Drosophila melanogaster: one gene and its partner. The protein of the gene in region 1 interacts with the protein of each later gene in a pairwise test. Each region holds a gene or a part of one and is shown on either strand. Other genes may lie near its edges. The genes, in order: CG12708 and trbl.

Region 1 (14,200 bases):
TTCTCCTTGCCTGGCGCCACTCCGATCGACTTCCTCTTGAGTTTGCCACGCAGGGCGTGGAACTCGCTGTAGCTGGAGCCCACCACTTCGGCCTTCTGCTCGAGAGATCCTGATCCCGATCCCGATTCCGATCCTGTTTGCGATCCCATGGCCAGCTCCTTGGCCAGATACGAGTTTCGCGGCTGGTTGACAGCCCACTTGAGCATCCTGGCAGCTGCTGTCTGTCGCTCCTGCGGTGCCAAGATATCTGGAAAAGTGGCAAAAAGGATAGGGCTAGTTAGCGATTGTCTATTTGCAAAGCTTCTCAAGCAGAATGGAATTGCAAAAAAAAAAAGCAAAAACAGAGCAAAAACCCGACTAACTTGTAGCGAAACGAGTTTGCACAGGGGCCTGCTTGGGATTTCGCCAAGGATTCGCACAGCTGAACGCCAGCTTCCCGATTTCCGCAAGGAGTTTCTGGTTCCGCATATCCTTGCGAACAATTGAGCCGGCACAAAGAGCCCGGGAACAAAGGAAAAGCGCGCTAAAGCTTCGCGATTTTCTGGGCCTCCGGTTCGCTCCTGTTCGCCATACCAACGCACTGCCCTCCAGCTGCGATTTAGCCCAAGGTTCTGCCTCGCGTATCGTGTGCTCGGGTGGTGTGCCGGCACAGGGAGAAATTATCACCCAAAATCAGGCAGGAATTTGGGGATTTATGCGCAAAAATCGGAATATCTATACATTTTATTTATATTATTTTTTAACTGATTGAACTATTGTTCAAATAATTTCAGAATCTGGGGAATTATTTGGCATCTAAATGGCTTTGTTACAATAAAGAAGATATTAAAATTGGTTCCAGATTTAGTACCCGATTAAATTATAAAAGCAATAAGCTATTCAAATTTCAATAGAAATGAAAAATGTTTACAACATTCTTTACTATAAAAATAAAATATTTAAGCAAAGCCCTTGATAGTCAAATTAGAAATTAGCGGTCCAATATACCATTTCATTAAATTTGCAAATCAATAGAAATTTTGGGAACTAAGTTCGCCAAGAAAGTTACTAATATAATTATTATTCATTTTGAATAGTAAATTTGTTGAGCTGCATGATTTTGAGACTGAAGATTCAAGTGATAAAAAAAGTGTGGCTGGGAGAACATATATATTTTTTGCCGTGTGAACTTGGGCAAAATGGTGGTGCTGCCGGCACACTCTGTTGCCTCGTCCTACTCCCATTCCTCTGCCCCATCCTCCAGTGGTGTCGATCTCCGGCCACTCGAGGAGTGATGGCGATAAGGGGGGATCCGCAGGAGTGAGCGATTTCGCTCATCTACTCGATTCCGGGATATGTACGTGCGTGCTAGCATTTTTGCGCATTTTGCAGCCGCCGCTCTCGTTTTGGTCTGAAGAGCACTCGAGCACTTGGGCCAAGTGGCCCGAGTTCGAAAACCCATTAACCCATAGCCCATTGCCCATATCCCATTGCCCAAGCTCAAAACCAAAACGCAGGAGCTAAAACCCAGCAAAACATAACCCAAAATCGCACGCGCACAATTTATACGTTTTTAGGCGATTTTAATGGGGTGTTTTTAATTAAACCCCGCTGCCCCAGACACTTCTGCTTTAATGCATTTTTAATGCACATTTAGCCCGAAAATATGCACACTGGCTTTTCGTTTTCCATTTCATGCACTTCACTTATCTTTACCTTTTTATTTGTATATATTTTTTTGGAATTTTTCGCGTTCTTCGTTTTTTTTTTTTTGGGGTATCCAAAGTTCAGAAATTGCTTCGTTTCACAATGAAAAATAATATAAAATTTTGTGGTATTTTTTCTTTGCACGTTTAAAAAAAAAATGAAAATAGGCGTAACGAGACGGGTGTTGGGAAATCAAAATTGTAAATTTTGAAATTTATTTCCTGCTCGCGATCGCAGAGAAATACACGTCCTGTCGCTGCAACAGACGAAAAGTGACTAATTCTACCCTCGCACGCAAACGTTGCGTGCTCACCTCGCAGAGCTTGAAACCCGGTCTCACGAGGCACACTGAAAACAAATATGTTGTACTTTGGGACCAGCTATACAAAATATTTTAAATGTATTACAGATTTTTGAATGAGAAGATACCCAACTATTTGAAACAGATTTTGATAACTATTTACGAATTTGTTTTATGCACACATAAAGATAACATTTAGGAATTTTGTATACAAATGAAATATATCCTAAATATATATCATAGTTGATTATTACATATTTTTAGTTCATTTAAAAGTATTGAACTACAGTCTTTTTTGACAGTGTACTAATGGAACCACCACCTTTTCAACAGCACCTTTCAATATTGAAGGTGAGATTGCCGTTCGTTCGCTCTCCCGATTTCTCTCCCCTGTTGACTGCTGAGGAATTTCGGGACTCGGAAAGGACATTCCCTTGGACTGAACTTGAAAACCTAGTGTAGCACCACCACTAGCCCGGCAATTTGAACTCGTCCCACCCCCCGGAGCGGGAGCGATCGGGTTGATATTGAAATCGAATGCTTTGCATTCCAATTCATCTCACATGGCATTTCACTTGGCATTTGTCAAGTTTGGATTTCCATCGTATAATGCTTGACAAATGCTCCGGCTAACGATCGGCATATATAATATTAATGGCCCACAAGGGACCTTCCATTGGGCCATCATCATTTGTGCGATTGATATACATGTTCCGAAATTGATTGAGATTTGATTTTGGGAAGTGTTTGGCAAGATGTCAGGAGTGACTTTTAGAATTATATCCTGCGGATTCGGTAAGTCTGAAAATATATACTATATTTTAATGAGAACTTTAAAAGCAGTTTCCTTATGCAAAATTACTTATCCTTGATGCTTTCGACTTTGATCATTTATGAATTAATCGAATATGTTTAATATTTAAGGCTGCGAAATACCAAATTCAAGGCACTGACAATAGAATCAGTCTAAACAATACGCCATATAGTCTTCCCTAGCCAGATCCAATTATTCCCTGTGTTTCGCATCACCTATTGATCTGCAGATCCTTTTCCATGGCATTTCGCATGATCCTGGGCAAATAAGCCGATCCGAGAGCCTCTGGTCCTTGAAGTGCCTGCCTGTCAATGGATGCCAGCTTTTCACGGCGATCCCAAATCAATCAAAGGATCTGGGTCCTGTGAACACACACAGACACACCAATACCAAACCCCACCCCCTGCCATTGCCCGCCAGGCATATCGAGTGGGAAAGCGGAAGAAAAGGGAAAGCAGTGGAAATCGAAGGAAGAAGGACGAAGGACGAAGGAGCCAGAGGGAAGCTCTGAGCAAATACAAATTCTAAATTATGGCCCATAATTCAGGGCCAGGTTTTAATAATTTTGCGCGCCCCGCCGGCGAAAGTAATGAGAGAAAGCAGAAGCAGAAGGTGAGGGAGCAGAGGAGCTCGCCTAGCCGTGCTAATCCCCGAGCGAACAGCTGTCCGGCCCAAGGATTGTGCATTGTGGGTCCCTATGTGTGATTCCTCGGATTTCCTCAAAACTCGGCCGCTCTGTCCTGGCGCTATCAGTGTGCGGCTTGTGATTCAAGATTACCTTTTCCCTACCCACTTTTCACTTTATCTAGATGTCCTTGCCGCCGCACGTTTCTCCAACGATGGCCAGCGGAATGGGATCCTGCACAGAGAGGAAAAGGATATACATTAGTTTAGATTTATGGGCACATATTTTATTAAGATTATGCGGAAACTTCAGTTAACTGGATTATTCTAGTAACAGGCATTGAAGAATTGTTTGAATATTTACTATATCATTCAAGACTGATTTTTAACCATTTTCAAATCAAATATTATGTATTATACAGAAAGATTCCATTAGCAGCCAAAGTTTGTCTTCTTTTTAAAATACCTATAGTACTAAAACTTTTATTTATGAAATTGTTGTTCAAATTCGAAAAAACCCAGAGCTAGATTTTTTCGACGTGTGTAAGAAAATGCCATTGATTGGGAAAAGCGATTGGAAAACGGTAGCAAATCGGAGCGTGAAGTCTTAGACTTATGAAAAATTGCACAATTGTTGGGCAATTTATTAGCGGCTGGGCTGGAGGAGGAACTGGATGATGGGAATGAAGAAGCGGAAAGGGGCTCCTCCTGCCCTAATTTATCTTCCTTGTCACCCTCTCCTTATTTTTCTTCGTAGCCTGCTCTGGCTGTCGCTCATCGATCCCTTCGGCATTATCCTTGGGCCTTTTTGGCCAGTGACCAATGCGTTAAATTGCCATTGATTCGGGAAGGACTGGCACGGATTATTATTGGAAAGATCACAGATCTTCGGGCACGCAGCTGCTGCTGGCCATCTTCCTTGATCTCCGCCCAATATTATTGATTTATTTCAATTTGCTTCGTTTTTTTCCCGAGATTTATCGTTGGTCACTCAGCTGCTGATCCATGTCCAGAATATTCACGTTTTATCCATATGAATGGTATGGAAAATTAGGGCCAGTTCAATTTGGTCTGGGAAGGTAGTGCCCCCCTTCCGAATGTCAATTTAGCGAAACGAAGGTTTGAGATTTATTTGAATAAACGTTTGTGGGAAAAAGTCGTAAAGAACTCAAATTGGTTCAATATGTCTAATATATATATATGCAGCAATGATTTTTCCTTAAAATAGGTGGATATTAAATACTGTATTAAAAAAGAAAACGTTCTGTCATCTTATGATGGTATTTAACCTATGAAGATGTCTTGTATTTTTGGAAATTCCCTTTGGGACTGATATATTTACGATCTCATTGTTTGAACTCGATGAACTCACAACACTTGAGCATATTTAATTGTGCCACCACCAGTTGCAATAAATTGTATCCTATAGCACTTGGTGGTCCGGAACTGCAGTGTCATATGAAATGCTAAAGCAGGTCCTGGCACTTCCTCAGCGAACAAAAAGTTGTGTTTAGTTTTTGCACAAAAACTGTCAAATAAATTTAGCAAGCAATAATATGGCGAAAGCAAATAGTAAAGATTCCAAAACTGAAGAATTGGGCAGATGTACGGTTGAGATTTAATTCTATTTTTCTCAAACGGACAATCGGCGGCTGCGAAAATATCATAAATTTGAGATCAGCAGAGAAAGCAGGAGGGAAAGTGAGGGAAGGTAGGAGCAGGACGGACCGGGAGCCCTTTAACCAATAAATTGCAAAACAATTGCACAATTTTCCACAACAATTTCCACAGGACAGCGATGTCCCATAAACAATGGGCCAAATTTGTACAATGCCCAAAGTTCCTGTTTGTGTTGTCCTTTTCTTGGCGAAAATCGTGAGAGAAGGAAGGAAAAATCGGAAAGAATTGCCTTGCTAGGGTCTAACGACTATAAGATACCTATTATTTAAACCTTTTATATATTTATGTTAGAAAAAGTTGGCAAATGATGCAAAACAGTTTCATCAATTAAACTAAATAATTGTAATCATTATTCCGATGAACTTGTTTAAACAACAACAGAAAGTCTTTTCAATATCAAATGAAAAACTAAAAATCCTTTAAGACCCAATGTTTTGTTCTAACTTCCTGTAACCCACACAATCACAGGTCTAGCATACTCTCAGGATCCCAAAAAAAACACAGGGTATCTTGAGGAGTCCAAGGTGAAAGGAGCCACACGCTGCGAGAAAGGTAATTGAAAATTATGTTTTGTGGCGCAAGCGGCGATGAGAACAGCTGTCCAACTATGCTCCGTCCCACTCACACGCTTCACAAGCGCCGTCCCTTTCTTGTTGCACGTAGGAATCCTTGGCCAACTGATCATGATCCTTCTCGGTGGCCAAATAAAAAATCTCACGATCGTGGAAAATTCGCACAGCTGTTGCCAGATCGTAAATCGATCGGTAAACGGTTATAAAAACTGAACATCAAGATAACGTTAATGTAGATCAAAGCGCAGCCTTCTGCTTTTCAATTTGTATCGCATTATCTAATAAATAGAAATATATTAGATAGTTTTGGGAAGTACGAGTCTACGAGAAGAGGTAATTGTATATATATATATATATATATACCAGATTCGATAAAAGGTATTGAAAGGGTATGCTTTTAGTTATAGTTGTTATCATGGGAAAAGTGAGAAATACGAATATTACAACTTATTTAAATAATTTATATTATTATCAATGTTGCAAAGTATCTTGCATAAGTTATTAAAGTCAAGTGGACTGATATCAGATGCGAAATACCTTTAATTACTATAACAACGAGTGGTCTCCCACCACCCGCTTTCAATGCCGCCGGTTGAACGTGCCTGCCGTTCAACTGCCTGATCTCTCCGCTCTCGCTCTCTTCCCTCTGCGCATGAGCAACATGTCCGTTCGTCGCCTTCTGCTTTCTCCCGGTTAAGGCGGCTAGCCAGTCAGTCAACCAACAACCGGCGAAGGGAACGCACGCAGTCGATCTTTGCCAGAAAAACGCGACGGTTGAAACGCAACACTTGGCAAAAAAAAAGCACTACATATACAAACTACCAAATAATCAATTCTTAAAATAAATCCGCGAACCATTTATTTTATTTTTTTGCTGTTGGAAATAAATATCAGTGCCGAAAAAAATAAACTACTGAAAAAGGTAAATTCAAGTGAACATCTAAAGATGACTGAAACTAAAAATGCAGTCATGTACAATGAGATCTAAAGGCTCATAAAAATAAATGGATATACCTAAAATAAATTACTTAAGTGCCTGTAAGATTCATGAATTCATTCATTAATGGTTATGAATATCTTTTCAAATAATTCCCAACATAACTGGATCAATGCAATTATAAATGCACAAAAATTCAATTTTTCGGATAACTTGTGATTTTTGGTTTTTTGGTATCCACTCAAGAGCCAAATTTGAATGCAACCTAAAAGTTCATTAAGATTTCATAAGAATAATTGAGCATATCAAGTTCAGAGTCAATTAAATTATTAAGGTCCAGACCAAAGGCTGCCCGTCGTCCATTTAATTGTCCGTGAGAGGAGTGGTTGATTTCGTTTTTGATTTCATTTTTGCCGCTTCGCTGATTTCGCCAAATCGATACACATCCATATACATATGTACATATGCATGTATATATGTATGTTTGTCTACATGCACATTTATCGCGGAAAAAGCGCGCCAAAATTGCCGAAAACTCGCCCGACAACTTTGCCGCTGCCCTCTTTATTTATTTGCTCCTTAAGAAAGTCAAGTTCTGGAATGCCAGAACCAGAAATACCCGCCCCCTTCCTAACCAGATTCCTTTGCTCTTTCCTTGCAGCACCCACTACAAAACCGAAAAACTAAAACTTCAGACAAAGAAGATGCTCAAGTGGGCCGTCAACCAGCCACGACCCTCGTACTTGGCCAGGGATGAGGTGATGGCCACCAGCAGCGAGGCAGTCGGCTCCAGCTACAGCGAGTTCCACGCCCTGCGTGGCAAACTCAAGAGGAAGTCGATCGGAGTGGCGCCAGGCAAGGAGAACCAGCTGACCTCCACGCCACTGCCGGCCAGCTCCTTGAGCCTCCATGCGCGCACACCACTGCTCAAGGACCTCAGCAACATCCTGGCCACGCCGCCATCGGGAGGAGCAAGTGGCGCTAATGGGGCAACTGGAGGTGTAACTGCTGTTCCCCTGAAGTTCGCCTGCACACTGCCCACCTTCGAGGCGGAGTACTCGCCCAATGCCGCCATCATTCCTGGCTCCCTGATCGCCCTGCGCGGCATGGGCATCCCGGACAGCTACTTCGAGAAGCCGCGTTACCTGGAGCAGAAGCCACTACCACATCCGCATCCGCATCCAGCACCTCCGACCGGCGAACAGAATACGCTCAGTTCCAGCCAGATGGGCGATGTGACCCTGGAGCGCATGATCGATGCCATCCTCGAGAGCAACCGCAAGGTGCTGCCCAACGCCAGACAGCAACAGCACCAGCATCAGCACCGCCAGCCCAGGCAGCATCTCCGCCAGCGGCACAGGCTCAGGCAGCAGGTGCTCCGGAGCAGCCACGGACACGGGCACGGCCCCACCCAGACGCCATCGCCCACCTACCGCCCCGCCTTCGATCCGGCCAGCGATCTGTGCGAGTACTGGAAGTCGCCCTCGCGGAGGGATTCCCTGCCAGCGGAGGGCTTCGAGGAGCGGGAGGTGCGCTCCCCCGTGCCCACCGTATCCGAATCGCAGGATGCCAAGCGGCATTCCCTGCAGCTGCGCAGGCAGCGGGTGGTGCGGCGCAAGCGAAAGATCACCACAAAGATCTCCTCCAGCGTCAGGCAGTCGGCGCAGAAGCTGCTTGCAGCGGCCAGGTCCGGATCCATAGCAGCTCCCGCCCAGAAGATGCGCCACATCAGTCCGGACAGTGGGCACAATTCCACCAGCGACTGCGAGCTGGAGGAGGAGCACTGCCAGCTGAGTCGCGGACTGGAGTTGGGTGGCGAGGAGCTGGAGGATGCCTGTCAGCTGGATGCCATGTGGTTGCAAGTGCAGGCCAGAGACGCCACGAAGAGACGCCTCAGCTTCTCCCTGGTGGAAGAAAGCTAATCCTCAAGGATATTCCTATACCATAGGCATAAGACATTTTTTTCATAGCCCTAAGAACGTTTTTTTTTTTTTTAATTTTTTGGCCAGAATAAATCATTTGGAATGCAGAATGTACGAAAAGAACCAAATTCACTGAGGGGCACACTGTCATAATTCGGTTGAAACCACAAGGAACCACCAGCAGTTTATGCTAAACACCTCTTGAAGCTCAGCGGTGCGTGGAAAGCAATTCCTCCAGAGCAGAGGGTCTGGGTCTTCTCATCCGTCTGCCCAAGTGGTCTTCTTTCTCACAGCGAGCTGGTTAATGAGCGTTTTAATGCTCCGATAGCGAGCTATAGGGGATTCCTCGGCAACATGGAACATAGAACTTGGCGGTAATGAGGGCCCTAAAAGGAAGGGGTTGTGCGACAATTGTCGCAAGAAAAAAAATATTATTTACGCTTCAAATGCCCACGAATTCGATGGGCAGGCAGCCAGCCAAGTTATGTGCGATCTAACGCGATAAGGTCTAGTACCTGGAAATGGAACAGGTATCACTTGCTCGGAACTCCATTCGAGTGTTATTAGCTCAAAGCGACCTTTGGAAAAGGAAGTTGCCTAACTTTCACCCGGGAAACTGCGATTTACCACTGCTTTCAGCGGAAACTATTCTCTGAAGGTATCATAAAATCATAGTGATGAGTTATGAAGCAAACCCAGTTTCGTAGATAATCCTTACATAATTAAGATACAAAATTTGTAGCCCAAAAACGAAATATAACTCGTTAGCGAACGGTTTGTATAACTAGGCTTCCAGCTGAGATGGAACCTAGGCCATTCCCACAGCTCCCGCTCCCCAAGGATCGCATCCCGCCGTGCGAGCCTCATTAGCCCATTAGCCAACTGGTCAGATGGATGCCAAGGAGCCCGGCCAGGCACCAACCATCCAAGGCCATGCGATCGATGGGTCAGCAATCCACTTCTGCGACGCGGCGTTAAATGAGCTGTCATAACATTTTGTCCAACCCTTGAGACGAAAGGAGTGGGTTAAGCCAAAAGCGTTAACACGTCTGCCAAGGAACCACCAATCCACATTCACATCCACTTCCCATGGCAAATGCTCAGTAGAGCGTGAAACTTTCTTATGCAGATGATGGGTTGACCATCAGTGCAGAGTACATTGTGCCATGTGACAGGGAAAACAAAGTAAAATACTTTATTATGTGATACCCGGCGAACTCCAGAACTCAAGTTTCGATCGCCGAACTAAGGTCGAGCGGTCAAGCAGCCCGCTCCAGGGAATATTCGTGATATACATGCAAATGTACATATGGATAACCCGCCGAAATCAGGGCAGGTCCCTTGTCAAACCCTCGTCCGCGCTCTGAACTTTTCCCAAAATTTCCCAAAAGGAATCGTTAGAAGAAGAAGAAGGTTCACGCCGTTGTAGTTACTTTATTTTTTATGACTCTCGCTTTTCTTTAGTTTTCCACAATGCGCTGCTCTGGTCTCCTGCCCATTATTATTATTATTATTATTATTATTATTATTATGGTTGTTGTTGTTGTTATCTGGTTCTTGTCCGTCCGGCTAATGACCGCTTCCGAATTGTTCCATGTTTTCATTCGTCAGCGCCCAGTTTTCCCGCTCCGGACGGCAACGTCTCATTAAACATGCATTTCTTTAATTTCGTTTTGATTGAAAGTGAAACGGATACTTACCCCTAGTAAGTACCTAGCTGGGATTCTTGCCACCACATATCATATCATTTTATACATATCTTCCGGTTTCGGATGGTTGACGAGTAATGAGTGGAGCGTTAGTCGAAGCAGAGATCCATAACGATAGGGAAAATCTGAAAATGTACAAATAATTAAGTGCGTTTCCTTAAGGTTTTATAGCTAACAAAATGTGTGCGTTTAAATGCGATTATAACCTACTTTAAGAATATAGTTTTATTATAATTGTAGTTTCTTAAAGTTTGCTAACAAATTTTTAATTTCAACTATATTTTTCTTTGACTGAATCTTTATGATACCAAGACACCTAATTGATATATGAAACGTGTCAAATTGAATTGAAATGTGGTTCCCAATTCCATGTTGTGGACACACTTTGGTCGAGAACAATGAAATCCATCGATCTGCACTCAATTCGAAACCCATTTTGTGAAAATTGAGAAAATTGTGAAAAATCACCCATTAAAAGCGGGCACACTCCAAAACTCTAATTGCGATTTAAACGTTTCTCGAGTGGCGAAAATGGAAACACCCGCTTAATTTTCGACATAGTGACAAAAGTCGTATCGCTGTTTTCTGATCGGGGGTTTTATATTGTACAAAACCTACATATGTATGGTATGTATGTACATACATAGTGAGGGATCGGACATGGACAGACTACCGAACCGATTGACAATGCCCAACGCACCTTTCGACCCGCACTTTGTTGCCATTCTGCCGAATCCCATTGCCCGCTTGAGATCCGCTGGGCAGGCGGGACACGTGCCTGCTCCATTATCGCCTGGCGATCTGATCGATCGGCGGCTGAACAGTTGCAAAAACAGCCAGCCAAGGACCGGGAAACCCCGCAGGACCAAGCGAACCTGAGGGCGGTTTTCCCTTTTTCCTGGTTCCTGCATGTCCTGCATGTCCTGCCAGTCAGGAAGTCAACGTCACTTCGCGAATGTGTCAACATGTGCAAAAACAGGAGACCCACAAGACCGAAGGACATTCAGCGCCTAACAGTTGTGCTGTCGAGTCCTGCGGGCTGTCCCTTCCACTAGAATTGGGAGAAATGTTGCCAAAATTGGAGTGCTGCTCCTACGGAATACAAATATCTATCATATATAAATATATTTTCATAATATTACTAGCTCACCCAGAAGTCCGAGAAATGTAATCTGCAAGGCAAATATTTAAGATTATTAACATACCAACAATGAAAAATTTAAATATACGCAATGAAAAGTGAAGTGGCAGACATTTTCTCAAAGTGTATACGAATGCGGTATGTAGGTGGAGTGGTGCAACATCACGAAGTTAGCGCCTTTGTGTTTCTTTTTTTTTTGTCTTTGAAGGACTTCTAGCGAGGTTCTAACAAGCCATATCCCTCGAAACACCAAACTTCACCTGTTGGCCAGGGCAATGTCCTTCGCTGCCTGCGCTGCCTGCAGCAAGTCCTTGAATTCCGTGGCTCTTCTGACTTTTCGACTCATCCTCGATCGGTATTTTTTGTTTTGTTGTTTCGGTCCAATTAGGCCGCACATAACATGTTATTTGGGCTGCCAAACCGCACATCATCAAGCCAACTCAGTCGGCCAATGGCAGGTGTAAAGGTCACGAGTGGAGGCCAGGACCCAAGGATCGGGTCCAAGGTCCTGCGCCTGCGGTCACAGCTGAAAATCCAGACCAATCGATGGGAAAGTCCATGGAAACGGTGCAAACTGGGACAGCAATATGTGAGGGAAACTCTATGAATGTAAAATAGATGTAAATTTTTTGTAGAATAAAGTTTGAAATATTATTAAAAATATATCAGCATTTCACTAACCTTTAGAAATGATTATTATTATTATTTAAAATATTTTTAACATATTATTAATATAATAAAGCTAAAAGAACTGACACAGAAACGTATTAACCATAAATGCAATATTCAACATAATGCTTCAATACAATTTTTAATAATGATTAATAATAAAAAATGGCATGGGAAGGAACATTGAATGGCCAAAAATTAGCATCTTTTACATTCGAAAATGTCAAAAGAAGATGCATCAAAGCGGCGGCATGATTTCAATATAATCCCCGAGTGCCACGAAAATAATCAATCAATTTCTTGGGCCGCCGATCTAAACTCAATCCGAAACCGAAAGGATTGCGGACAATTCCATAAGTATTCAGCCTGGCCTAGTAGACATAATCAATCTTAGGGACTCCTTGCCAGATTCCTAGATCTGGATTAGACTCCCCCTGCTTTGCATATGCTCTGCATAATATCGCCATGCATCATCCATCCATCCTGGTCGACTGCCATAATTGCCAATATTCCGAGTTCTTCGACGAACCCAACACTTCTATAAAAAAAACAAAATTAAAATAAAGGCACCCAAGGGGAGCAACCCTTTTCTGTTTTCTGGAATGAAGAAAGAGGGCAGGACGAACAAATGTTGCACATCATCATCAACGGGACGCAACGGGGCGAATATCATTAATGCAAATCTATGGGACTGTCATGTCATTGAAAATATTATTGTAACAATTGTGCGAAACTTCAGACGATCTCCATTCGGCGATCTTTTGTTGCAATCTTTTCCGATCGGTATCCTTTTGCTTTGCTTACTTCATTAAGTGCGGCTCACTTGACAGCAGTCTACCGGGATGTGACAAAATCATCCTTGAATCCCCCTATCCAAAAACCCTTTTGAAGACCCGATTCGTGGGATATACGAATCACTTGAAGTGCCCAAAAATTTAAATGAGACGAAAAGCGGCGGGCATCGGATTAAAATTGAATCATTTGCAATTTTCCGCGTTGCACTAATGAAAGGAAATGCAAAAAGGAAAATCGAATGGGGCAAAAGGGTGATTTCGGCAGGGTGACAAATGCCAAGTGATGGGATCCTTCCTTCTTAGCACTTCCTTGCATCCTGTTTCCTTTTGATTTGGCAAACAAATTTACAAACGCACTTCACCAAAGGTCGTCTGTTTGTTTCCTTTTTTTAGTTTTTCGTATTTTTTTTTAGACTTCTCTGTGTGTGTGCGTGCGACTTGCGTCGGGCTTAGGGGGTGCGTCCTGTACAGGTAGTGTATGTAGGTAGTGGCAGTGGCGTGCGTTCCGCTACAGCGATCCGCGATGCACTGCACCCTGCCATGTGGCCAAATGGACTGACTTGACAGGCGCGACTAAAAGTCGCCGCTCAGGACTATTTTGCATAGAATTCCAGACTCGACGGCAGCTGTGGCCGTGCTAAAATTCACAACAAAAAAATAGGTGTTACTAAAAAAATATAAAACAATAGAACCATAAAAGATAGCATATTCCAACCCTGTGATCGTAATTTCTTAAATCGAAATGAGACCATATTGTATCTAATGCTTAACTGAATTTTATATATAGTATTATATATAGAAGCAAGTTTATTATATATCATATTATAAGGTTGAATGTGCTATTTCTTATAGAGCATATCTTAATTTTTAAATGCCTGAATTCTCCTTCCAATTGCCGTTTCTTCGCATAGAGCATTTTCCTGAAACCTCAACCTGGCAAAAAAAAAAAGAAATGAAATGAAAATACGGATAAGATGTCCATGACTACGCCTAACTAGCTACGTGCTTGCCATTTGCCGTAATTGAAGTTGAGACGCCGGCGACACCCAGAAGTCTATCCAAGAAATCAAATATCATATATCAACTTACATATCAAAACAACGGATGGCAAACAACAACAGAGCGAAATGGTAATGGTAATGGTTATGAAAATGGAAATGGAAGTGGAAGTGGAAGTGGAAATGGAAATGAAAGGACCCATTGAAGGATGGAGGAAAGTCCAGGTAGAGTCAAATTCGGTGCCATTACATGAGCTCACACCTTTTGCCCTTTGATTTCTCCCCTGCCAAGGAGGCTGGATCGTGATGGAGTTGGAGTTGGAGATGGTGATGCCTACTCCCAGGAGGCAGCT
Region 2 (17,212 bases), on another chromosome or scaffold:
GCGGTGTTTAACAGTCTCCTCACCCTGGTCAATATAGCCGTGATGGTGCTGGTCATCAGCGTGGGATTCTGGTATGCGGATGGTAAGAATTGGTCCGAGGCTGAGGGTGGATTTCTGCCCTACGGCGTTGGAGGAGTCATCGCCGGTGCAGCCACCTGTTTCTACGCCTTCGTGGGCTTCGATTCCATAGCCACTTCCGGTGAGGAGGCCAAAAACCCATCGGTATCCATACCCGTGGCCACTGTGATCTCATTGTTCGTGGTGACAGTGGGCTACATCCTTGTCAGCGCCGCTCTGACCCTTATGATTCCCATCAGTGAGATCAATCCGGCTGCCTCATTGCCGGAGGCATTTGGGCAATTGAACCTCTCCTGGGCCAAGTACCTTATCTCCATCGGAGCTCTGTGTGGAATGACCACCACCCTGTTGGGATCCCTGTTCGCCCTGCCACGCTGCATGTACGCCATGGCCTCGGATGGATTGCTCTTCAGCTGTTTTGGGAAGATTAACCCGACCACCCAGGTGCCACTGCTGAATCTAGTGGTATCCGGGGTAATGAGTGCCTGCCTCGCTTTGGTCTTCGATCTGGCCAAGCTGGTGGAGTTTATGTCCATTGGCACTTTGTTGGCCTACACCATCGTCTCGGCCAGTGTGATCATCCTGCGATATCGTCCCATGGAGCGAATTCATACCACGATTAGGGTACCCGCAGTGGCTGGAAGTCCCGACGACGACGACGATGATGACGAGGATGTGGCGTCCCAGTCCAGCATGGATACCTCCTCACCGACCAGTGAGATGATAGAGGAAGTCTTAGCTGGAAGACTAAAGGCCCAGTTCAGGTGCTTGGAACCCCTACTAGGACGTTTCGAACCGGGATCTGTGGTGTCCGTCGCCGTGATGCTGTTCATCTTCCTGAGCTTTGCCATCTGTGTGGAGCTAAAGGTGTCGTGGACGCAACTCTATACGGGCACCTGGTGGGCACTGATCATCTATGGATTCATCATCTTCGCAGCAGGCACTTGCGTGGCCGTGATAGCTGTCCATAACCAGAACACCCGTGGCCTGATCTTCAAAGTTCCCCTGGTTCCCTTCGTTCCTGCACTTGGAATCTTTTGTAACATCTTGTTGATGGTCCATCTGGATGCCGTGACTTGGGTAAGGTTCTTTGTCTGGGTTTGTATCGGTATGGTGGTGTACTTCCTCTACGGGATTCGTAACAGCAAAGAGGGCGAGGTCTGCTCCTCGTACTCCATCCTTATGACCACTTCGGAGGCTGGAAAGGTGCCGTGGGGTTCCTTCAAGGCAACTTCCGGTGGCAAGAAGTCCAGTAAGCACTCCATCTTCGAGAGATTCACAGGACGCAGCAAGCCGGAGGACAAGAAATCAATTGTAGAGGAAAGCGAAAACGAAACGTCCGGATATTCCTAAGTCAATTCTTCCAATTGGAACCCAAAGCTTCAACCCGAATACAGATCGTGAACTAAAATCAAATCAGTGAAAGATATACAGTTGTTATGGTTTCGGCTTATTATTTTTGAAATGTTTAATGTACATAGATAAAACTACTTCAATTGGTTACTGTTCTTTTGAGAAAAAGATTATAATACTTATTTTCTATGTAATACCAAAAATATGTTTAATTATGTTAGAACTTTTGTTAAATCAAAGGTTTCTGGTTTTGATTTATTATTATTTTGAAACTGATACTGTTTAAAGTCCTGTACTTAAAGCATCTCTATATACATAAATAATCCATTTCAAATTATATGCATTCCAAAAACCCAACGTTGAACGAGACATATAATGGAATTTTGGTATATAACATATTGTGGCGAAGTACCTTATATTATATATACATAATATCAAGGTATAGCTATTTACAGTGTATTATTGCAAACAATATCGCAGAAATGGTATTACACACAACAAAAAACGTATTTACTCTGCAAACGTACAAATAAATTTATTTAACGTTATGCACACATGGCATTTGTTAAACTATAATAGTACACACATACATGTCTTTAAATAACTAACTATATATATTTATAACTGTGTAAATAAGCATATACAATACTATATATTTGCAAATATATATTGATTCGTGTATACAAAATAATCAGGTGTTTCAGTGGATTAGTTTGCAGATTAGTTTCTTGATTTTTTTCCCGTATTTATTATTTTTATGACTTAGATATCCTGCCAAATAGTTTACTATAGAAGGACTTTTCATTTTCAGGAATTCGAAAAAAGGCTTAGGGATAAATGATATGATTTTATTGCCTGATTTCCATTTCTGCTTAGTTCTTTGAAACATTTCCACGCAAAGAGATTACCCTTATGTTTCTCGTCATGTGTACAGTTTATATCGTTTTTTAGGACCCGCGAAGACATCCTGAAAATTCGAACAGCCCTTAAAATTATAAAACCAAGAAGCGTAGGCGCATATGTTCAGCTGCAAGAATATCTCGGAATCCCAGCATCATTCCACAGGAAGCAGGTGGTGCACAGGACTATTGAGAGGTCCTTTTCGACTGCAGGCTGTTTTATATAGTGCGTAAAAGCGTAGAACTTCGTTGAGGGATGCTGAGTCAGTCGACCGAAAGATTGAAATGTTCATAAGAGAACTTGTTTCTTGGATTAACTGCCGCGGTCTTGCAACGACAAAAACGCAAATCTGAAAAGATAGCTTCAAATCCGAACGTCACGCAATTATAGCCAACTTTTGGGCAAATTTAATTAAAGCGCTAAGTAAATAATAAATAAATAAACAAATCTTATCAGATTTTGATTGCTTGATCAAACCATTGTTTATTGCGCATATATTTTCCAGAAAATTGTCAAGTTTTTATTTACAAAGAAAAGTGTAACAATGATGACAATATAAAAAAAAGAGGTTTTCCAGCTAGTTTGGTGTCACAAAAGAACAAAGGATCGGGATCTTCCCAGGTGAAACAGGGTCGCGCGAAAATACAATGGGCAAATAAACGGCGCAATTACAAAATTGAAGAAAAGGGCCAAAGTTCGTTTGAATCTATCGTGAAAAATGAGGAAACTTGACAAAATTTCGGTCGAAGTCCAACCCACCCCATGATGATAAGATTAAGGATACTTTCCATTCATAAATGTGGGTCGGTCGGCATTGCTTTTGTGTGGAAAAACTGTGAAATTGTTGTACCCCTTTAAGAATACGTTCACGGATGGCCTGGAAAAGCACATATGCATAACAATCCATCTCGGAAGAAAGGGGAAACTATTTTGGATAATATTTTATTGAAAAATATCCTTTTGATAGCTCAAACAATTGTCATTTTAGGGGTTGACAGGGTTAATGGTCCTCGGCAGGCTGTACCTCACTGTCGTTTGTGTCCGAGTTGGGAATAAAGGGCTCAGTTTTTCTTGAAAAACTGATTTCGCTGACAAACCAATTTTTTTCTGTATGTATGTATCTGGGATACATCCGTACAGCAGGGTGACCACTATTTGCGATGTCGCATTTTCACCTGGGAAATGCCGGTGCCGTACCCGTATTATAAATGTGTCGCAAATTACCCACCTTTACGTCCAGAAATTGCCATATTCTGCACGGATCTTGGGACATTTCTGCCTCGGTTCCCACGCCGTGACTAGTAATAATATTTCCAAGCATGTGTGCGAGAGTTCATCAATAGCACTTCGACGGGGTATCCTTTCCATACAAATATTACGGACAATGGGTAATCCTCAGCATGTTGGCATCTAGGAAACGCATCTGTGAGGAATTGAGACTGGAAAAAAGGGCAGCAATTTTCACCACCTACGCAGAGAAGAGATATGTATGTACGTGTGACTAAGAAAGTGTTTGCTGTACTTGAACCCTTGTTTGCGGCCTTCAAGCGGAAGAAATGTGGAAGCAGTAGACGCATCTGAAAGATTGAGTACTCCAATCCTTCCATGAGTAATTTTGGAGTTTATGTAACCATTTAGATTTGGGTAGTTCAAGAAGTTATGTTAAATAGAAATTTACAATATGTAATGGTAAGTATCTTCTTATCAAAGTTCAAGACGTTTAAATCAAGTAATATTAAAGATATCTTTACCATATAAAGTTATGTATCTCCTTATCTAAGCTCCAAAGACATTAAATAGTTAAAGTTCAACGGACTTAACCATTGCATTGTTATGTTTCTCTTTGTACGAAAAGAAAGTTATAATAGTTTATATTAACGGTATGCAGCTTGTCTAATGTTGGACAAGCTTTAGGTATTTCTTAGTAGTTATATGGCCAATCTTTTCGTCGGAAAACTCCCTTAGTTGATTATGGGGCTTTAATCAGATCAAGTTCCCTCGCATGTTTAGCCTTCCACAGAGCGTCGCGTTTCCATGACAATTTATACGATTTTTCGAACCAACCATCCACCGACTAGGTATACCTATGTGGTCATTGCACCTGATGGTATTGTTGGCACTAAGCACTTTCTCCAAACACCGCCGACAACCTGTTGTGTTTCATACCCATAACCACATACAGATACTGCACGCTCGAACTAGTGAGAGTGTATCTTTTGCGATGCTAGATACGATTTGCCGCGCGAGAAGTTTACACACACTTGTAGTTTGCAGATAGACAAATATTATCTTAAGTATAATATCTGCATTCTATATCTGCATATATAAGGGATTCAATGGCATGTCTTAATATATATTTATATATGCCTAGTTTACCCTGACCTGAAACCTTGATTGAATCCAACTTACTTTCATAGGTCTTATGGGTCTGAAATGACCGCATGACATTAACATTCATCAGAGTTCCACTGCAAGTGCAATCCCCAGACCACGTGCCACAACCTAATCTACTTTTTTTATAAAAGCCACATCACGGCCGTGCATCATGCACTTCCCATCCAAAGCACTCGCTCACTCACTTCGAGAACTTCACCTTCCACAATTTCGTGCGAATCTGAAACTCCAAAGTCAGGGTATATGCACAAACTAAAGCTGCCGCCCGCTGGCGAATCAAGATATACGAGTTTGTGTGCCTGCTTTTGGGAAATGTCGATGTGACGGGGCTTGGAATGGATAATCTAAATCAGGAAGGGGAATTGCGAATCGGAATGGCGAGGCGTCGTCATCCCGAATTGATGACGCAGCCGATGACGCACTGAGTTGTTTTTTTTTTTTTTTTTTGCTTGGAAGAGAAATCTGGATTTCATGCCAGCTTGGCAACAACAAAGTAGCTCGCACAATGGCAAAAGCACGCTGAAATTTTAGAGCAGAAGAATCCGCGAGTGTCGGAAAGGTCGGCTTCATCCGAATGTTCGAATTTAAATTTAAAATGTAACGTACTCTTGGTGGGGCTTGGGGCACAGTGGTTCAAAGGAATGGGTTACGGTTACATGTGAAATTATTTCACAAGGCGATTATAATCAATACTGTTCAACATCATAGTGCGTCATTTCAAATTTCAATGAAATATGTTTGTATAATCTTCCCACTGCAAACTGCAGTTAAAACTTAATCATCATTGCGGACCATGGTGAAACTCAAAAGCGATTTACTGGAATAAAGGTTGTTTGTGTTCACGTATATTTACGTGATTATTGCTAAAGAATATGTATATTTCCCGTACATACACTTTTCATATCAAAATGATCAGGCCTATTTAATCGTATAAGTGAGTGCAGTGACCAGAGTGAAACATTAATTGCTTGCAAATAAGTATGTCGTATGCAAATAAAATATTTTTCAAATTCAATTTGATGTCGCCACCCCTATAATTTCCCCCCTTTTCGGTTGCATTGGTGTCACGGTACCAGTATAATTCTCGTTTCAATCTTCCTTTCGAGAAACAGATGCAAGACTTTGGAAAAGGGACGGGCGAAAAGAGAGGTTTGTTGGTGTTATTTGTTCTGTTCGCGATTTTCGCATTCGTATTTATCGGCTACTTCGTGGGAAGAAGAAGCAAAGACGGACGTTGCGTTTCAAAAAGAGCGTTACAATATGAAGAATTCAATCGAAGAGATCGGTGAAAACCAATGGACGAAATACAAGCCTGCATAAACAGTTGCGGTGAAAATATTAGTATTCAAAATCCCAGTATCCCAGAATGAAAAAATTCAAAACTAAATGAGTTATATCTAACCTACAATTGTACCAATTCTATCAACGATTTTAAAAATACATTTTTCAGGTCTTTTAGTCCAACAATTCGGTCTTAAAAATTATATTTAAAGACCCTCATTTCCAATTACTAAAGATTCGATTGCGATAGTTCCTATTATTGTGACCGCGAATGTGCTCCTGTGTATCCTCAGACGGATGTCTTTAGTGGGAAATCACCTTGCGCCAGCTGCAACTGCAACTGCATCGCATGTACAGCCCTGCACCGATGCACTATATCTGCCATATAGTGCTTAGGGGTGGAATAGTGCAGCTGACATATGTATGTAGGAATCTACCTGCGACATAATGCCGCTCGGTGGTTCTTACCTGCTCCTTGAGGATCTCGGATAACTGCCTTCTGTTGCTGTCGTAATTCCTGCGTAGCCCAGTGATCCTCGTTTCGGACAGCTGCAAAAATCATGAAATCGTCTGCACCGCGAGGTAAACAGCAAGGTAAATCCACATACACACACACAAATGAGTAATGATCTCGCACAGGAAAAAATTCAATGATCGATTTGGATCCAAGAGATTGAAGCGTTATTTGAAGATTCGAGTTTGGGAGCATTTATTTAAATTCTAGGATTTACTAGAACTATGTTTGTACATCTGAAATGTCCATCTGTGGTCATATACTTAGGGATATAAGAGATCTTAATCTGGAGTATTAAGAAGACAAATTTCTTAATTTTAAATTTGTATGTATATTAGGATATTAAAATGTTTTATGTTTTATGTTTTTTTATAATAATAGTAGTTTGCAAAGCAACTACTCAAAAACTGCACATCATCATTGAATTTGGTTTAAAAATTTCGTAACTATGGGAAAACAAATAATTTCAACCAAACTTGTAAAATATTACCTTATCAGAGCAGGAGAAAACCTTAAGTATCCAAGCCAAGAAACCACAAAAGATATTTTCGAGTTATAGAGATGGTTATACGGGTGTTTCTGCCTTCGATATCCGTACCCGTACTCAATAAAACAAAATCGAAGTTCAAGCTGACTGTACTTTCATTAATTTGATCTTAAAACTGTGGATTTTATCAGTTTACTAACCCCCTCTAATTAACTTATCGCCACGATTTATTGGTGCGCAGATTACTACGTAAAATCGTAGAAGAAAAGTTTAAGGGTTGCTGTGGGTATAGTGTTCATACAGCTACGTATTTCGAATTCAGTTGGAATCGGAATTTCAGCGTTCAGCGCAATTTTTTCAAAAATAACGATGCTCTTGTTCTTTCTCTCTCTCCCAACCATTTGGATTTCAAAAAATAACGACGCTCTCTGGTCTCCCACTTCTCTTTCCATTCCGACCGCATTGAGCTAAATTCCTGCAACGGGTGTGAGCGAGGCAGAGAAGGATCGGTGCAGTGAGAGCGAGCAAGAGGGTGCGAAAGAGAGCCGTTGTATTTCGCCGTTCTCTTCGCTTCGTGCTTCTTCCGACCGCGTGGATGGTCACATTTGAAATTCAAACTGCGGAGAAGACGGTCGCGTTCGTTTCGTTTCGCGAGTTCAGTGAGCAGCGTCCGATTTGTTTTAAAATCGCCGCATTTCGTCAGTACCCGCATTGCAAATGGCCAAACTACCGAAGTAGTAGTAGCCCTGAGTTTAAACGAGAGTTTAAATCGAATTTAATCGGAGACTAAACGGCGCGTCGCTAAATGTCAAAACAATTAACAGCCAAGTACAGCCAGGCTAAAGCGGAGTAACAAAATTAGTAAGAAGAAGCATTAGCAGAGAATAAGACGAAGAAAACGTAGCGAGAGCAAGAACTGTGATAAAGTTAAGTGAAGTGGTAAACACAAGCAAGCATGGATAACAGTAGCGGTCAAAACAGCAGAACGGCTTCGTCAGCGTCCACAAGCAAAATAGTCAACTATTCGTCACCAGTCTCGCCAGGAGTCGCAGCCGCCACCTCCTCATCCTCATCATCCAGCAGCAGCGGCATGAGTAGCAGCCAGGAGGACACCGTACTGGGATTATTTACGCCCAAAAAGGAGTTCCCCAATGCCAAGATGCTGCAGACCATCAGGGAGAAGCTAATGACGCCCGGCGGAGCCTGTGACCTTCTGGCCCTGGGCATCGCAGCGGAACCCACAGACCAGCAGCCCGTCAAGCTCATCCAACAGCGTTATCTGATCAGCGCACAGCCTAGTCACATATCGGCCGCCGTGGCTGCCAAGACTCCCGCCTCGTATCGCCACTTGGTCGATCTAACCGCCTCCAATCTGCGCTGCGTGGACATCTTCACCGGGGAGCAGTTCCTCTGCCGTATTGTAAACGAACCGTTGCATAAGGTGCAACGAGCCTACTTTCAGCTGCAGCAGCACGACGAGGAGCTACGCCGGAGCACCATCTATGGCCATCCACTGATCCGACCCGTGCACGATATCATACCGCTTACCAAGGATCGCACCTACATCCTCATTGCGCCCGTGCCCCAGGAGAGGGACTCCACGGGTGGGGTGACCGGGGTGTACGAGAACCTGCACACCTACATCCGCCACGCGAAGCGACTGTGCGAGACGGAGGCGAGGGCCATATTCCACCAGATCTGTCAGACTGTTCAGGTGTGCCACCGCAACGGGATTATCCTCAGGGACCTCAAGCTCAAGCGGTTCTACTTCATCGACGAGGCCAGGTGAGTTGCGTGTCCAGGTGACACCTTCGAAAAACCCATATACACCAATATACGCCACATATGCCTGACTTATACCAACTCAATTGCATATGGCTGGCTAGTCGGTTTATTTTGCAATTCGATGGAAACTCGTTATGAGCGAGAGATCTTGTTTGTGGTCGTGTGTTGGTGGTGCCACAATTGTTGCTCTTGTTATTGGCCCATGTTGTTGTAGTTGCTGCTGCTGCTGCTGTTGTTGCTTTTGTTTTTGTTGCTGGCGCCGTCGTTGTGGGTAACATTGAACATTTAACAAGTGTTGCAATCGAATCACCAATAGGCCAACAACAACAATTATACTGACAAACCGAATGAACGCAAGGCGTACGTATGTACAGCACAGGGTATAATGGTAGTTTCAAACTAATTTTATAAGTAAAAATATATTCCTACTATGCGAAGCATTGCAAAAATGAATGGGAATAAGATCAAAAATGTTAAATAATTTCAAAGATAAGTTTTTGAAATACACCTATTATTAAACTATTAATTAACATGGTGTATTAGCTTTGTAGCTAAAGAATTATTATTTATGTAATATCATTGAATTGCCATTCAGTGAGCAAGCATATGCCTTATTTTGCAGACCCCGACTGTATCTCTGTGTACATACTCGTACACAAGGGCCCAATGTGCCACACTGATGGCCAAAATGTTGGCTCACTCGTTTTTTCATTACACATTTCGGAAGCTAGAAATTGCCACATTTCAAGAATTGTTCAACATAGCATTTGCAATATGGTTTTGGGGTGGGGATCTGTGGGCCACGTACTCGGCGTTCGCTTGATTTGTCGATTTCCCGTGTGTGAGTTTACAGTGGATGATGAAATATTGACCCCACCTTCATCGAAAATGTATTTTCGCATATGTTAATTAACACAACTGTATCGAAAACGCGCTGTCTCCCGTTCTTATTATCTTCGAAATTGTACTGACATCAGCATGGAACGACTTGAACATTTGGTCGATTTCGTATGACTCTGCAATTAGCGCAATATCTGCTGATTTTTTCGTCATTTCGTCGTTCTGTGCCAAGTGCAAAACGGCGGAAGGAAGAAACCAACCCATAGATCTCTATCTATACTATACTTCTCTCACCTTGGCGAGAAATAAACAACAAGTGTTCAATACGACTCAAATGCGCTGCGATTACTGGCGCTCACTTCCATTCCCATTTCCATTCGAATAATACATCGCTATATAGATAAGTGCTCGCTGGGTGTACATACATACTATATGGGCTATGGGCGTGGCCATATCCATATCTACATATGTCCAACGGGGCGGCCACACACACGCACAACCAAATAACGAGCCGAATTTTTAAGGTCACAGTGCGGTGAATGTCCCTGACTCTGATCTTCTGTATTTGAACGCATTTATGTACATGCATATATGCCAGTGCCTCCCATATACAAATGCGTATGCTTATGCATGTAAAAATCTCTGGTTCATACTTTTATTTTGTCTACTCTTTTGCCGTACGTAAATACTTCCAAGGTGTTTGAGCATTTATGCGGCGCCGGTTTTCCGTATTTCGTTTCGATTCCGATTTTATTTTAACCTCTGTCGCGGGTTAATGTGTGCCAAACGTATAGAGCGAGAGAGAGAGAGAGAGGGAAAGAAGAGATCCACAAGACGCTCTTCAAAGCTCGGTTATGTCGCGCATCGAGGTCAGCAGCTGTAACTATTCTCCTCATCACATCTCCACCTGCCTTCCGTGCACTCAAAAATATAAATATTGGTTCACATAAAACCTTGATCTTAAAAGTATAATTATATATGCTTGCCTTGATCTTAAATATAAGTTTATAATGTTTCTGTATCGAATGGGGTAACTAGACGATAGAGGACACAAAAATCAAATGAAACCCGAAAACAAATGTATAGAAACATGCTCTTAATTAAGAACCGTGTTCTTTGAATATATTATTTAAATGCGCTATCTCTTTTCCCTCTTATTGATTGCCCACCTGTTGCTATCAAGTTGAAGGTAATTTGTTTCTTTCAGTGTACACTGTGATTTGTGCCGAGGAGAGGCGCGTTTTCAAAGCTTGTTTTTGTTCAGGGTCAGCTCGAGGTTTTTTTGGCCTGCTTTGTGTTTGGCTCTTTGGATGTTTGGATACCAGACCGCGGCGACCGTGTGTTTGTATATCGCTCCGTTCGCTATCGGCGGAATACCCAATGTTGGTAGTGGTGCTCGGGTCCCAGCAGAAGCGCCGTTGCAGCAACAAGTTGCGATACGTCACTCCACCTCACCTTACTACTCACGCAGCTCACACAGCGGACTCTCTTTGGATCTATGCGCTGTGCTCGCTGGCGTTTTCGTTACTTTTTTGCTTTTTGCATTCGAATGTGGGCCAATGTCAATGGAGTGGAGTGGCCCAATGGAGGGGGAGTGGAGTGGAGTGCAGGGGCGGAGGCGGCGGCGGCGGCGGCACTCGCTCATGGGTGTCGGGGGTCGCAAGCTGCGCTTTCGTCACCAATCCAAGTCAACTCAGCTCAGCTCACAATGTGCTCTCTCGGCCAATTTGCCTTTTGACTTGTCAATACGCCAACGCCAAAGACAACTACAACTGAAACTGAAGCTCCGTGGCCGATCGATTCAAGTCTCTTCGATATTGCGCTAGCTAATGGCCCCACAAAATCGGGGGTTATGCAAGTCCCAGGGATTGCACATGATGTAGAGCTCGACGATGGGTCTGATGAACGGGTACAGTTGCGATCAGAATAGTGGCAGTGCCAACTCAAGTTGCAGTCATATCTACTCTTCTTTGGCAACAATAGTTCTCAACATATTAATAGAAACGGGTAAAAAAAAGACTGTTAGTTTTATTTCTAAGAAGCATAAACATATATTTTGTACCCTATTTTGGCGGATTATTTATTCGATTTTGTCATTTGCTAATTACAGAACGAAACTGCAGTATGAATCACTGGAAGGCTCAATGATCCTCGACGGCGAGGACGATACTCTGAGCGACAAGATCGGTTGCCCACTGTACACCGCTCCAGAACTGCTGTGCCCCCAGCAAACGTACAAGGGCAAACCGGCGGACATGTGGTCGCTGGGCGTGATCCTGTACACCATGTTGGTGGGTCAGTACCCGTTCTACGAGAAGGCCAACTGCAACCTCATCACCGTCATACGCCACGGGAATGTCCAGATACCCCTGACGCTGTCTAAGTCGGTGCGATGGCTGTTGCTTTCGCTGCTGCGGAAGGATTACACGGAACGAATGACCGCCAGCCACATCTTCCTTACCCCGTGGCTGCGAGAGCAGCGCCCCTTCCACATGTACCTGCCAGTCGACGTGGAGGTGGCCGAGGACTGGAGCGATGCGGAGGAGGACGAAGGCACTGCCGCCGATGCGATGGATGATGACGAGGAAGGACTCTGTCCCTTGGGTGACAAGCACGAGTACGAGGACATTGGCGTGGAGCCATTGGACTACACGCGCTCCACGCTCCAAATGGCTCAGAATGCCAATGGGCTGTCCACGGAACCCGAACCCGATACGGATGTGGACATGGGCTGATTGGAGCTCGTGGAGTCACCCACGGGTTGCATTCTGGGACACGCTGGCGCGTTGGCTGCATCCGGCTGAATGCCGACTGATTAGCCGCCGGGACTGGGCATATCGGATGATATGACACTGTGGACATCCTGGCCTTCCGGGTCGCGCCGACTCCGACTGCGTTCCACGTCGTCTTCCTGCAGGTGGTACTGCCAACAAAGACTTAAAGCTTAGACACACAAGAACTCACTGCCTTCCAATCGCGCTGCAGCCCCGATTCGATTCGTTCAAGAATCACGCCGCTCCGCAGCCTCCTCTCTGCAACCGATTCTTCCTAAAACCTACCTATGTACAATACATTTAACATTTTAATTTTTTTGCAAACTGTTGATCTTATCAAAGGACAGTCGCCCTGATTTGCTTTTGGGCTTTAAAACACATTAGTTTCCATGTTAAAAAATGCAACGAATGCAAATTGTTATTTATTATTTAATACTTCTGTATTACGCTTTGTGTACTCTTAAAATCTTGTAAGTGAAAATTGCAAAAAAGAACATAATACATTGAAATTTGATCTCACCAAGAATAATTCGAATTTGTTTCTTTAGGGCTCTGGGGTAAAAAACGCTGTTTTTATTTATTGACACAAGATTGTAAATATTTATAAATGTGTAATTAGTCAACCAGACTATGAGCTTAACATGAAGATTCTAGATTCTCAAGAAGCGGAAGGCTACAAAAGATGAAAACAATGAGTCAGGGGAAAATACGATTTTTTGGTTCTAGATGCGTCATATTGTGTACTAGTAAAATTCAACATTTGATTAAGATCAGATAATGTTTGGTCAAAAATATGAAAACAAAACTGTCCAATCTATTTTCTTCATGAAGGAGATTAATGAATAGTTCACGTCACAAAATCGAGAATTCTCTCGAGTGTCGAAAGTCAACAAATTAGTTATTGTTGTTGCTGAGATTCCCATTACCGAGCAGCAGATTCCCAACCTGATAATGCAACCCAGTGACTGGAAGTTATCAGGTGGGCGAACGTGACTTTGGCTACGGAAATATTTGCGACTTTGCTCCACAATAGCAGTAAACTAATATTGTGAATAGCTGCTGAATGCGGAGGTCCCACCACTGTCATCTGATGTGCCGACGTGACGGGGACTTTCGCATGTATACCACCTACATATACTCGTGTACGTAAGACCCCCGATTTTTGGCTCTGTGTGCGCCGTGCTCGAGCATTTTTACCTGTGGTCGAGCACTTTGTTCAGATTATGAAATTGCCGGAGAGAACGAGAACTGCGCAGAACGCGAAAACTGCTGACGACTACGCCACCTACAGATTGTGACTATCAATTTTTTTGGGCTCAGTGCCACGCATGAACTTTAACTAGAATCGCCTGATCGGTTTAGACCCGACTGGAAAATACCCATCGGGAACTGTATGTAACCGCACTGGAAATGTATTCAAATCTGATGCTTTTGTAGAGTATTACAATATGTTCTTGTCTGTCTTATTTTTGTTCAAATAAATTTATTGTCGATTATTGATACATATTGAACTAAAGTCTGAAGTCTGAAGTCCATATGTGGTCTTATAACTTAGGAATTTATATCTTTTACAATAAGTATCCTGATTTTATTTCACTTATTAATTTAAGAATACATTTTAGGATGGGTACTCAAAGCTTCGAGATCTTGAAAGGGTAAAGCCCATTGTCATGTGCAGTTTGATAAGATTTTAAAGGGGACTTATAGAACGGAATGAACGATCCAGAACTTTTCGCATTCCTTACATACCCAAAAGTCACAATTACTTTGTTTCTGGGGAATAACGAAGCTCTAATAGGGGTCACGCTACCCAAAAAAAAGTATGTTAAATGGAAAGTACAAAGGTGGACTAGCCTAGCCCTGTTACAAATTCACTTTTTAAGGTTCTAAAACCTTAAGTTAAGTACCTTGACAACCATAAAGAAGACCTGAACAGTGACAGCTACGCTACTTTCCCTGACCCAAAAATTAGTCGTTACTTGATTCTTTGTTATGGCTCTGGTTCAATTCTCAAGATTTTCCGTAAATTTCTTTGTTTGCCCTCGCACGCAGCTTATACTGTCTGTCATTAGAAGATAGTCCTATGTTTTCCTTCAAGTACCCAACAGATAATGCGAAATTCTTAGCCTGAAAAATCGTTTCATGGTCTTCTTCCTAAATCACTCCAGAAGTCATAAAACTTTATGCACCATTTTGCAGTATTTACAGAAAAGGCGGCAGATAAATGCCGAGAAAGATACGAGATACTTTCTAGGCAGATCAGACAGCTTGTGCGCTATTTCAAGTCAATCAAATGCTCAGTTAAGGTATTTAGCGCAAAAATCTCGGCAGTTTCGTGCCTAATTGCGGAAACAGTGTTCTAAATAACTTTAGATTGCTGCAATTGTATGAGTACGTGGTCGTACGCACGCCGCATATTTATGTGCGTAAATCGTATACATATCTTAGACTTTTGTCCCCAAAATGTGCAGTTGCTGACTATTTCGTGTTTGGCATTGCAGGCGGCTTACATCAATGGGGGAATCTTTCTAAAATCAACCCTAAATTTCTTATCGAATGATAAAAACTCAATGTCCAACGATGTCATTTATCGCAATGGTTCCCCGAAGTCTAGCCTTGATGCTTAACCTTCTACACAAGCAAAATTTATAAAATTTATTAACCATATTTCATGAATTGTATTTTCTTATATTGCCTTGACACAGCTGGTGGATATTGTTAACCATTGAAAGACCAAAGCTTAGATAGTAACATTTTAAAAGCTTTATTGGCTAAAGGGGTGGTAATAATTAACTTGCTCTTTTAAGCACATTTTTCCGTAGTAATAGTTAATTTAAATCTGTATACACTAATTGCCTGTTGTTTAAATTTTTAAAAAATATGGTCATCAACATGAAAAATGTTTAAAAAAAATGTTTTCAAAGGTCGATGAAATTAACAAGTGTTTCATTGTTCTTTAAATTTCACAATTTCTGTGCTGGTTACGTCAAATTTTCAACAATGACACATAAGTGAACAATGCACTGTTTATTAGCTGAGGAAATATAAATGAAAAACATATCGATTATTCGAAATAATCAAATTGTCTGAGATCTATATATTGAAAAAATAGCACGAAAGAATATACAGTTGATGTTCAAATCATTAATATAATAACACTATGAAAGAACACACGTTTGAATTTAATCATTGACTGCAGTCAAACTTAACGGAAATTTCGTAGTGTTGCAAAGGTAACGCTAGAGTGAAATAATCGATATACCATTTGTTTGCGTTTTGTTCGGAAATCGTGGGAATATGAGCTAATCTCACGAATTGGCGTTGAAAGATATGATGAGCTCCCGCATGAGCTTGAAGGATCTGACCATCGAATGCCTGCTCCTCATATTCGACTATTGCTCGGAGGGGGACCTACTGTGCCTGTGCCGGGCGGACCCGGCTCTGGAGTATATTATTGAAGCCTACTACTTCTACCCACTGGCCTACGATTTGCTGCTCTGTGGCCACCGGAATAATCCAAGGATCGAACAGAGGTTGGTGAATGAGATTCGGATAATAAACTTAAGATAATCTATCTACCTCCTAGAAACCGAAGACGCCTGAAAAACTATGAACGCATCGAGCTGTCAAGGAACTGGGTTAGTGGCACCTATTTCGAACGACCATACTTCCACCATGCCCAGATGTTCCCCACCAAACTGTGCCTGGAGGCCGACTTTCTGTACATCACACATGCCTGCTATCTGCGCAAGTACCGGCGGTCCAGCTGCGATGCACTGCATCGTCGCTTCGACGAGGAGATCTGTACGTCCGCACAGACCGACATCTCCGATTTCGTCAAAAAGAATGAAACCATATTCGCGGGAAGGGTTTGTGGATCGTGCTTCCACTACGACACCGATAGCATGGTGATGACGGAGCAGAGGATGCATCCGGCCAACGAATACTTGTACTGCGTAGACTTTGTCAAGGATCTGTACGCAACCAGCACAGATCACTGCTGCAGACTGTGGCAGCGTGCGCAGGAGTTTGGAATGACGCATTTTGATCAGGTGATGCATCTGCCGCACGCCTTTAGGTCTCTGGAACTCAGTTCGGATGGCCAGTGGCTGTATGGTGGACTATACACTGACAACGGTCGCCAGGCCTTGAGGGCAGTCCATGTTGAAAGGTAAGCCCTACCGACTATTAGTTAAATATAAATCTTATGTGTAGGAATGTTTTAGTTAATCCTTAAACATTAATCAAAGTAGAAATATTTGATTTACATTTTACTATCATTATTTCTGTTATTAACTATCTTTAATTTTTTTCTTTATCAGTGGCGAGGAATTGGTGTTTAGTTCCAAAACAATGTCAATTTACGACCTGAAATTGAAAGATGACCAGGTCATTTTCACGGCCAACTTCGATAGCACGTTTCGTATGTTTGACAGACGCGTGGATCGCGATGTAGCCATTTGGGATGATCCGTTCGACTCCTCCTTCTACTCCTTGGAGTATGATGGTCTGCACGCGGTGCTGGTTGGCACCAACAGACATGCACGGGTCAACCTTTACGATATAAGAATGAAGAAATACGTACAATTGTACTTTCCGGGAAGGACGCGAAGTCATAATGGCTTGTCGCCAGTGTACAGCCTCGCCTGTGATAGCCAATATATGTTCGTGGCCACCGATCACAATATGCGTGTCTTTGACTTTAAGGCAAGCTGTGGAATTCGGAGAGACTACAGCAATATTGTATACAAACGAAGTGAAACTTAATCACATTGGATAACCCATATTAAAAATGTGCCAAATCTT

The links.
Region 2: the proteins of CG12708 (region 1) and trbl interact in a two-hybrid assay, tested with the Drosophila melanogaster proteins (2 studies listed by BioGRID).

Annotation. Positions count from the first base shown.
Region 1 is NC_004354.4:15,669,089-15,683,288, forward strand, and holds CG12708 (uncharacterized protein), read left to right. Parts: upstream 1-6,387; 5' UTR 6,388-6,599; exon of another isoform or gene 6,600-6,715; intron 6,716-7,275; 5' UTR 7,276-7,318; coding exon 7,319-8,536; 3' UTR 8,537-8,649; downstream 8,650-14,200. Other genes in the region: CG15646 (uncharacterized protein), read right to left, coding at 1-206.
Region 2 is NT_037436.4:20,392,006-20,409,217, reverse strand, and holds trbl (tribbles), read left to right. Parts: upstream 1-7,608; 5' UTR 7,609-7,962; coding exon 7,963-8,792; intron 8,793-11,742; coding exon 11,743-12,367; 3' UTR 12,368-12,930; downstream 12,931-17,212. Other genes in the region: CG13248 (uncharacterized protein), read left to right, coding at 1-1,431; CG33969 (uncharacterized protein), read left to right, coding at 15,737-15,939, 15,993-16,577, 16,729-17,173. UniProt on the Drosophila melanogaster protein: Adapter protein that negatively regulates different signaling pathways to coordinate cell differentiation, proliferation, migration and growth.